Linked DNA regions of Macaca fascicularis. The protein of the gene in region 1 binds, or shares a complex with, the protein of each later gene. Links are inferred from orthologs where the notes say so. Each region holds a gene or a part of one and is shown in the gene's direction. Other genes may lie near its edges. The genes, in order: RASA1 and ARHGAP35.

Evidence for each region.
Region 2: the proteins of RASA1 (region 1) and ARHGAP35 are in contact, whole or in part, in a crystal structure (PDB 8DGQ), measured with the Homo sapiens proteins. The link is inferred for Macaca fascicularis from reciprocal best matches to the Homo sapiens genes RASA1 and ARHGAP35. Residues at the interface, in NP_002881.1 of Homo sapiens: Arg188, Arg207, Ser209, Arg211, Val217, Asn228, His229, Phe230, Arg231, Ile241, Gly242, Tyr256, Leu262, Leu263, Lys264, Lys358, Ser379, Asp380, Asn381, Ser387, Gln397, Arg398, Phe399, Lys400, Met411, Gly412, Gly413, Arg414, His425, Tyr426; in NP_004482.4 of Homo sapiens: Ser1085, Asp1086, Tyr1087, Ala1088, Glu1089, Pro1090, Met1091, Asp1092, Ala1093, Val1094, Val1095, Arg1098, Glu1100, Asn1103, Ile1104, Tyr1105, Ser1106, Val1107, Pro1108, His1109.

The regions. Positions count from the first base shown.
Region 1 is NC_088380.1:91,254,716-91,259,073, forward strand, and holds the start of RASA1 (ras GTPase-activating protein 1), read left to right. Parts: upstream 1-1,427; 5' UTR 1,428-1,994; coding exon 1,995-2,512; intron 2,513-4,358. UniProt on the Homo sapiens protein: Inhibitory regulator of the Ras-cyclic AMP pathway. Stimulates the GTPase of normal but not oncogenic Ras p21; this stimulation may be further increased in the presence of NCK1.
Region 2 is NC_088393.1:54,850,537-54,854,948, forward strand, and holds the start of ARHGAP35 (rho GTPase-activating protein 35), read left to right. Parts: upstream 1-1,434; 5' UTR 1,435-1,653; intron 1,654-4,412.

The DNA.
Region 1 (4,358 bases):
TCCTAGGATATTGCTGGCCTTAATTCACTCGAGAACTCTAGCTCCTGTGACTGGTTCATCTTCCTTCTCCCAAGTAGCACATTGCCTAAGACATAAGCATAATGGAGGTCCCAGGACTACTCCTAATCAAGTTGGATCGTTGTCATCGACTAGGTAAATAGGCCTACGCAAATTTACAAAGAAAATGCATTGCCTGTATCTTGCCACCTCTTTTAGTGGTCTTTTCTCTTGTTCCTTTGTTTCTATCACAACCACTTGCCATCCGGAGTGTTGGCTTGATCATCCTTAGCAGAGAAAATACTGATCTCAAAGATCAATATCCAATGGTATTCAACGTGGGATTACTACTGGGAGAATTTAAAATAACAATACCGTTAATTTCAAACCATGAGAAGCTCCCTGTACATGAATGCATGTAATAGTTTGTATACATTTTAGTGTAGAAGACAAAATAACACTCTTCTCCTTAATTGTATTAAAAATGAGTTTTCAGTTTATTGCTACTTTAGAAACGATATATAATTGTAACTGGCATTCTGGGACATTCTTGACATTTGACTTGTTGAAGGTGCTTGCATTGCGGATCACACCCTGCAGTCTTTTGCACACAGAGGACAAAAGTGCATTGATTAGTGTTTTCTGTGGCACCCCCTCCTCTTCATCAGTATCCAACAGACTTATAATAGCATAGGTAAGTATATGAGACAGTTGATAAAGAAAAACCTATGCAAATACTAGTAGAAATCTTACTTCATAACCACTATTTCTACCAAAATTCCCCACCCTTCTCATATGGTGCCCTTTATTTCGTTTCGGAGTTTCAGAATCTATTTTATCTGTGTGTGTGTGAGATAGTCATGGTGATTTATAGCATGCAACGAAAAAGACAACATTTAGTACTGCCCCGATCTTCAAAGCTACCTGACTCCTGCATGGTCTCTGCGCTGCTGGCTAAGGCTGTTTCTTCCACCGGTCAGGAAGTACGGAACTAGTTTCTAGGCATTTTCCTTTCCCTTTCCCCCTTCTTCCTCTCCGCCGCCTCCCGGTCCCCCTCTCGTCTCTCCGGCTTTCACAGCGCCGAGCACCCGCGTGCTCAGGTACCCTTCCCTCTTCTCCCGCCCATCAAACAAAGCCCCGGGAGACAGGCGCGCGCCGCCGGCCACGCCAACAGGAGATGCGGCCGCGCCGCCGCACGCTAGGAACCGGAGTAGGACAGCAAGCGCGACCACGCACCGCGCGTCCCCGCCGCTTCCTTCCCTCTGGACTCTTCCTTTTCCTCCAGGCCCGGCCCCCCGCCCCCCGCCCCCCGCCCCCCGCTCCCCGCTCCGGGAACGCGCCTGCGCACAAGCTGCCCTCTCCCTCCTCCGCCCTTCCTTCCCTCCGTCCCTCCTCCCCTGCCCCGCCTTCCTTTCTCTCTCTACGGTTTCAGTCACTGAGAGCTCCAGGTAGTGAGCAGTTCAGTCGATTTCCTTGTTACCCCGCCCCCCTTTCTCTTGTCCCCACCCCTCTCATCTGCCTGGTGGAGGATGAAGCGGCTGCAGTGGCCCCAGCCTCAGCAGCGGCACCGGCGGTGGCTGCGGTGTGGGTGGCCGGAACTGGGGTGGTGAAGAAGCGGTGGTGGCTGCTGAAGGAGCGATAGCCACCTAAGCCTCTTTCCCTGTGCTTCCTTTCCTCTTTAGTGCAGCCAGGAAGTTTTCGCTTCTGTACATGTGTTTGTGTGCGTGAGTGTGGGTGTGTGCCGTGAGGTTTGGGTGGCGTTTGTGCAGGCGTTGGGTTTTTTGCCCACTTCGCTTCCCGTAACCCAAGCAGCTCCGGAGCCTGGGCTGTGGCCCTAGGAGGGGGCGCGGCGGCGGGCTCTCTCCTTTTGTTGTTGTTTCCTCCGCCTGGGGAGCTGAAGGGGAGACGCGTCTGGGTGGGGCGGCTCGGAGCCCGGGCCTGGTGGCCCCCGGGGCTCCCGGGCGGGCAGGGTAGGGCAGAGTAGAGCGGGCTTCAACATGATGGCGGCCGAGGCCGGCAGTGAGGAGGGCGGCCCGGTAACAGCCGGAGCTGGAGGAGGCGGCGCGGCAGCGGGCTCCAGTGCCTATCCCGCAGTGTGTCGGGTGAAGATACCCGCGGCCCTGCCTGTGGCAGCCGCCCCCTATCCTGGGCTGGTGGAGACTGGAGTGGCTGGAACTCTGGGTGGCGGAGCCGCTTTGGGGTCAGGGTTCCTAGGAGCCGGGTCTATGACAGGGGCATTGGGGGGAGCCGGACTGACAGGGGGAGGTACTGCTGCTGGCGTGGCCGGTGCTGCTGTCGCTGGACCTAGTGGAGACATGGCTCTCACCAAGCTGCCCACTTCGTTGCCTGCTGAGACTCTCGGGCCAGGCGGCGGTTTTCCCCCTCTGCCCCCTCCCCCTTACCTGCCCCCTTTGGGGGCGGGCCTGGGGACAGTGGACGAAGGTGACTCTCTGGATGGACCAGAATACGAGGAGGAAGAGGTGGCCATACCATTGACCGCTCCTCCAACTAACCAGTAAGTTAAGACTGCTGTTCAGGAATTTGGGCAGCTGGCTCCAGAAAAGAAGTGGAAATGGGGTAAACCATACTTTGTCTTTTTCATCTGTGATTTGTTTAGGAAAAGTTTTTGAAGTTTCAGGTTTCTTGCGTAGGAATTTAATTTGATCACTTATCTTCCTTACAGGCATACTACCTGGCGTCTTCCTACATTTATTGCTCTTCTGGGAAGGTGTAAAGTTTTTAAGATGGAAAGTATGAGAAAATGTGTATCTGATGAGAACCGGATATGGTTCTGTCCCTTCCAAGTTGAAGTGGTGTCCCAGGATTTAGTCAAACTGCGGCTACCAAGGCAGTCATAGTGTATATTAACCTGTTTGTGTTACTTGATAAAGCTAGATGATTAGTGAGAAATTTTGAATACAAATATTTAAACGAGTATTGTATTAGTAATTTGAAAAATGTATTGGTTAGAATGTATTTATTTCAGTGCACATCCCAGCTTCTGATTAGAGAAAGCATAGTGATGTTTAGAAGAGTCTGTGGGTCACTTAATGAGAACTTGGGTCAGAGAGAAAGGAAAGGAATACTGTGAATTATAGGTGTGATTAAGCGCCTTTGTTTCAACAATGTATCTTCTTCCCTAGGCTTCCCACTTAGCTTTTATAGTCGAGACATTGGAAGTACAACAGTGAGACAAAACAAAATTAACAGAGCTTCCCTTAAACATTTTTTGTTGGTGGCCAGTATAGTATTCTATTTGAAAATTAAGTAGAATATACAGGACAATGACTTTTTTTTTAATGTAAGTTAATACCTCCTCACTTGTCTTAATTGAACTTAGGTGTTTATTCATAAAGGTGGACCTTGATGAAAATGTTGCGATGGGAAGTGGTATTAGGCAAAACTTGTTATAGGTTTCTCGTATAACTCTTAATTGACCCTTAGAATTTTAACAACCTTGGTGAATATCAGGAAAGAAAGATTTGGTTCATATGTTGACAGTCATTCTGGACAATTCAGAGGTTTTTTTTTTTTTCCTCTCTCCATTGCCCCCAAGAGATGGAGTCTAGCTCTGTTGCCCAGGCTGCAGTGTAGTGGCATGGTCTTGGCTCACTGCAACCTCTGCCTCCCGGGTTCAAGAGATTCTCCTGCCTCAGCCTCGCTAGTAGCTGGGATTACAGGTGCATGCCACCATGCCTGGCTAATTTTTGTATTTTTCATAGAGACGAAGTTTCGCCATATGGCCAAACTGGTATCTTAACTCCTGACCTCAGGTGGTCGGCTTGGCCTCAGCCTCCCGAACTGCCGGGATTACAGGTGTGAGCCACTGTGCCCGGCCTTTTTTTTTTTGGATAAGCTTCTTTGGAGCATTTAGAAAGGACTGAAACTAGGAAAAGATTCTGTTACCCTCATCTATTTTTGACTTAAGGCTACATCTTTTGATACTTAAAGTGGAAAAGTAAAGTTAGTCATATTTATGCCAGCCATGTTATAGGGATGTAGTGTTCCACCTTTTATATTCCTCAATAAAGGGTTCAAGTCTTGCGTCAGAGTTTTGTTCAAATTTTACACGACAATTTATTTCATGTCATTGTAATGCAGAGTCCCTGGGAGTGTTCAGGGAGTGTTAAAAATTCCAATTTTGCCGGTCGCGGTGGCTCACGCCTGTAATCCCAGCACTTCGGGAGGCCTAGGCAGGTGGATCACCCGAAGTCGGGAGTTTGAGACCAGCCTGACCAAGATGGAGAAACCTTCTCTCTACTAAAAATACAAAATTAGTCTGGTGTGGTGGCAGGTGCCTGTAATCCCAGCTTCTCAGGAGACTGAGGCAGGAGAATCGCTTGAACCCTGGAGGCGGAGGT
Region 2 (4,412 bases), on another chromosome or scaffold:
AAAAAAAAAGGAAAATCCTTTAATATAAAAAGCTTTATTAATGGAATAAACAAGCCCATGTAATTTTATCAACGCTTACAGAGCGCTTACTATATGCAAGGCCTGATTTCCAGAGCTTTACAAAATATAATCTATTTAATTTTCACAGCAGCCCTACGAGAGAGGTATGATTATTATCCCATTTTATAGATGAAGAGACTTATGGCAGAAATGCCAAATGTAATAGGAAACAGCCTTTCTTCATGCATTCCACAAATATTGGCTTGGCGCCCGGGAAGCTCATCTTCCACGATCTGTACTTCCGGAGGAGTCCCAGAGGAACACCTCCTCAGTTCAGAGGAGTCAAGGGTTACAGCGGTGCCCTCTCCCATCACTACTCTTTTCCTTTCAGGCGCCCTAATTGACATTTGATTTGTAGTCATTTGCACAATGCTAAGTGACAGGCTTGGGCTGCACACAGTACCAGGCCGTCTTCCCTCTCCTGGGGATCAGGCGATCACAGAACCAAAAACAAGTTGCAAGGACGCGCGCGTTGGCTGCGGATTTTCTTCACAGCCAGGAGAAAGAGCACGCGCTCTCCATCCCCGCCTCTTCTTCCGGGACGACGAATTGCGGGGCTCGGATTGGGCTGAGGCGGGCCACGCCTCCTCATATCCTCCAATCAACTCCCTCTCTGGTGGGCTCCCTCCTTCTCAGCCCCGCCCCACCGCCCCACGTTACGTCGCTCCTTCTGGCCTCCTCCGTTATCCCGGGGGCTGCGGCTCGCGCGGCAAACCCACCTCCCGTTGCTTCCCATTGGCTGCTCAGGTCCCGCGCGAGCGGGATCGCGCCCTTCGCCCCCCACCCCCAAAACCGGGCCATGCCTCTCTCCTTCGGCTTTCTCCAGAAGCCAGCGCGAGGTGGCAGATCGGCTGCTTGAGGCGCGCGCGGAGACGCGCGCTCCTCCTGCGGGCCACTCCCTCTGCCCTGCGCCAACAGCTGCGCTGGCTGGCAGCCCCCCGCGCACGCGCGCTCCCCCACCCCGCTCCCTCTGCTCGTTTGCAGCTCGCCTAGAGCTCAGTCACGACGGCGGCCGCCGCAGTAGCTGCATTTTTGGGGGTGCACGCGCACTGCACCGTCCGCGGCGGTTCCTAACCTCAGGCAGCGGCGGTGGCAGTGAGACCCTCGGGTGCGCACGCGCTCTGACCTCTCCCCACTGCCTCGCTGGTCGTCCCTTCGCGGCGCGCGCCCAGGGGCCGTTATCCCCCTGCAACGGTCCACGCGCCGCGCACGCGCAGTAGCGAGGGGGCGCGCGCGCGGGAGCGGCCGTCGCAGGAAGGAGGTGCAGCCGCTGCCGCCATTGCGAGTGAGGGAGGGAGGGAGGGAGGGAGTGAGCGAGGCTGGTCCGCCCTCCCCCTGGTTCCCGCCCCTCCCCCCTTCCCCTCCCCGCCCCCCGCCCCGAGGGAGAGCCGCGGCGCGGCGGCAGGAGGAGGTGGAGGAGGCGGAGGAGGGAACCCGCGAGGGAGGGTCCGCCCGGCCCCCCGCCGCCGGAGCCGCCGCCGCCGCCGCCGCCTCAGCAGCCGCTGGACTAGGAGCAGGGGAACATGGCGCCGGGGCCCCCGTCGTTGCTGCCGGGATCCTGGAGGCCGGGGCCGCGCTGAGGGCGCCCAGCTGGTGAGTGCGCGAGCTCACGGGCCCCGGGCGGCGAGGCCGGGCGCCGCCCCGCTGAGGGGTCCAGGGGGAGGCGGGGACGGCGGGGCCCGGAGCCCGCGAACAATGGAGGAGCTGGAGGGGGAGGGGAGGAGCGGCCCCCCCAGCTCCCCGGGCCCCGCCGTCCCCGTCGCTTCGCGCGTCGGCCCGGCCCGTGGGGCCTTTCTGCCCTTTGGACCTACCCCTGCCCGCCGCAGCCCTGCTGTCCTCGCTGCCGCCCCCACCCCCGATCAGTTGGGATCTCGGTGTCTGCCTCAGAGCCTCTCCGACTTCAGCCATCCGGCTCCCAATTCTGCGACCCCCTTCCCTCTTCCACCCCTCCATAATGCCCTTCGCTCCTCCCGGGCTCTGCAGTGCTCTTGGGACCCACCTTTTTCTCATTGACCATTCTGCATCCCTTAATTGTGGCTCCCACTTTTGAGATCCGTGACCCTTCTGCTTCTTCTCGATTCTGCTCTCACCACCCTTCAGATCTGTCCTCGGCCCCTTCTTTGACCTACCTGCTGTGCTATTATTCTTGTCTCAGAATATGTTGCACCCTGGGAGCTGTCCCTTTAGGACCTGCGGTTCCAACCCCTTGGAGATCCATCTGAGACCCCTGTTCAACCAGGCACTGCTGCCCCAGGTCTTCCCCTTGGACTTAATCCGGTTCCCTCGTGGGCCCTACTATCTGCATTTCTGTCTGCCCTCTCACAGAGCCTGCTGCACCCCGGGATGCCCCTCGGCTGGCCTTCTGACCCTTCCGTGCCCCAGTTCATTCCCCTGATCCCCTCGGACTTGGCTGCACCGTGCTTGCCTCTTCCCCTTCTCAGCTCTTGTTACCGTTTGCCATTCAGACCCTTTCCTCTCTTCCATACCTTTCTGCCTCTTAGCTCTGCCCATTGCCCGACCTCAGATCTTGCTGCGCTCCCCTCACCTGCTTGCTTCTGACTGCCTTCCCGGGAAGCAGCCTCCTCCCGCTTCTCTGACTCTGCAGGTCTCCCATTTCTGCTGTTCACTCAACTGATCTCTCCCTAACTCAGACTGCCTTCAGTTTCAGCCCCAGTGTTCTCTTGGAGGTTTCCTGTTTCCCCCACCTCCTTTTTGGCACTTCTCTGAGCTACTGCATGCATTTGCTACTCCTTTCTTTGGCCTGTATCTCCTTCAGTTCTCTGCCTAAAAACTGCTTCCTGTCCCCTTTGCTCCAACTCCTCTCCTCCCCGTTTTAGCCCTTAGACATGCCCTTTAACGTCACTATACCTCTGATACCTCCCGGGCTGGTCACCCATCCCCTTCCCGTTGTGCATCTCACAGACCTGCCCCTAGATCCATTTTGTACCTGCACTTTCTCCTCGTTTTTTTCAATTCTGCCCCATCCTCTATTTAGTGTTTCCCTCCCCAGCTCGGCTGTTTCGGAGCTGTCCACTTGCCCGCATGTTTTTAGACCGGTTTTTAACTTCTGTATTGCCGTCCGCGCTTGGAGCGGTCCTTTAACACTGGGGTTCTTGTCACTGTGTCCCCTCTCTGTTCCCTCCCGAGTCTTAAGTTTTCCACATGACATTCTCTTCCCCCCACCATTTTGATTCAGCCTTCACCCTTCACTCTGCTTTATTTGCCCCCCCGTCCACTGCCCTGCCTCTTGTCTTCTTTTGGAGTTCTCACTCCCTCCAATTGTGACATTAAGATGTCTTCTTAATCATTCTTTCCTATGTATCCCCCCCACCTTCCTCTTGGAGCTGCCTCAGTGCTGTGATAGATTCTCACTCCCCTTACTCACCTTTGATATCCCTCTCCCAATTCTGTTCGTCTTGGACTTGTTTCCTTCCTCACCTTTTTTTTTTTCCCTTTCCCCTTGTATCTTGGCAGGCTCCTCTTCCCATTTAGTTCCTATCAGACCTGCTCATCGCAGCTCACCACCCGTGGCCCACCCATTCCCCATTGAGCACTTCCCCTTTCAGGCATGTCTTTCTCTGTTTTCCATCCCTCTGCTGCAGAGGCAAAGGGGCTGGATTGGGCCTTAGGCTCTCAGGCTCTGAGACTGCAGATTCTCTCTCTGCACCCTAACCCTGAGGGTTCTATCCCCAGGGATCCTGAGAGATCTGGGTAAATAGGTGGGAGTTGGTTGATTGTTACTGCTCTGTGGAGTCTGGGAGTGTCTCCCCCATTTCTCCCACTTCCACTAGGTTAGTAGTGTGGAGGGAGGTAGATCTCTTTCCGTTGCCCCATTTTCTTTTCTCTGCTGTTTGCTCTCCCCCTTCCGATTTCTGGGCTCTGCAGCTTTGTGTCCTTTGGAAAAGGGGATTGCAGCTGCTCACAGATCTTTATTCTCTTTCTCACTTTCCCTCTTTCCTTCTCTGAGCGGTTGCATACAGTACCCTGTCTCCTATTCCACCTCTAAGCCAGCACCCCTAGGAGTGTGCTTTTTTTTCCCCCAGCTGACAAGTCATTTTGTTTTACCTCTAGCTGGGGAAATGCCAGTTCTCAGATTCTCCCGATCCCACTGGGGGTTATGGCCACACTTGGACCTAGGGAAGCTACAGTCTTGCCTTCCCTAATGGCCTCTGGTTTGCAGTGTGACCTTGGGGGAGGGGATGGGGAAGGTGGGCTTATTATTTCTTTTTCACCTCTGCTCCAGGGAAGGCTCCAGCTTCCTGGTCTTCAAAATGGTGAGGGCTTGGGTTTGGAAAGCACTTTGCGGTTGTTTGTTGAAAGAGAGAGTGCCAAGTGTCACTCAGATTTCTGCC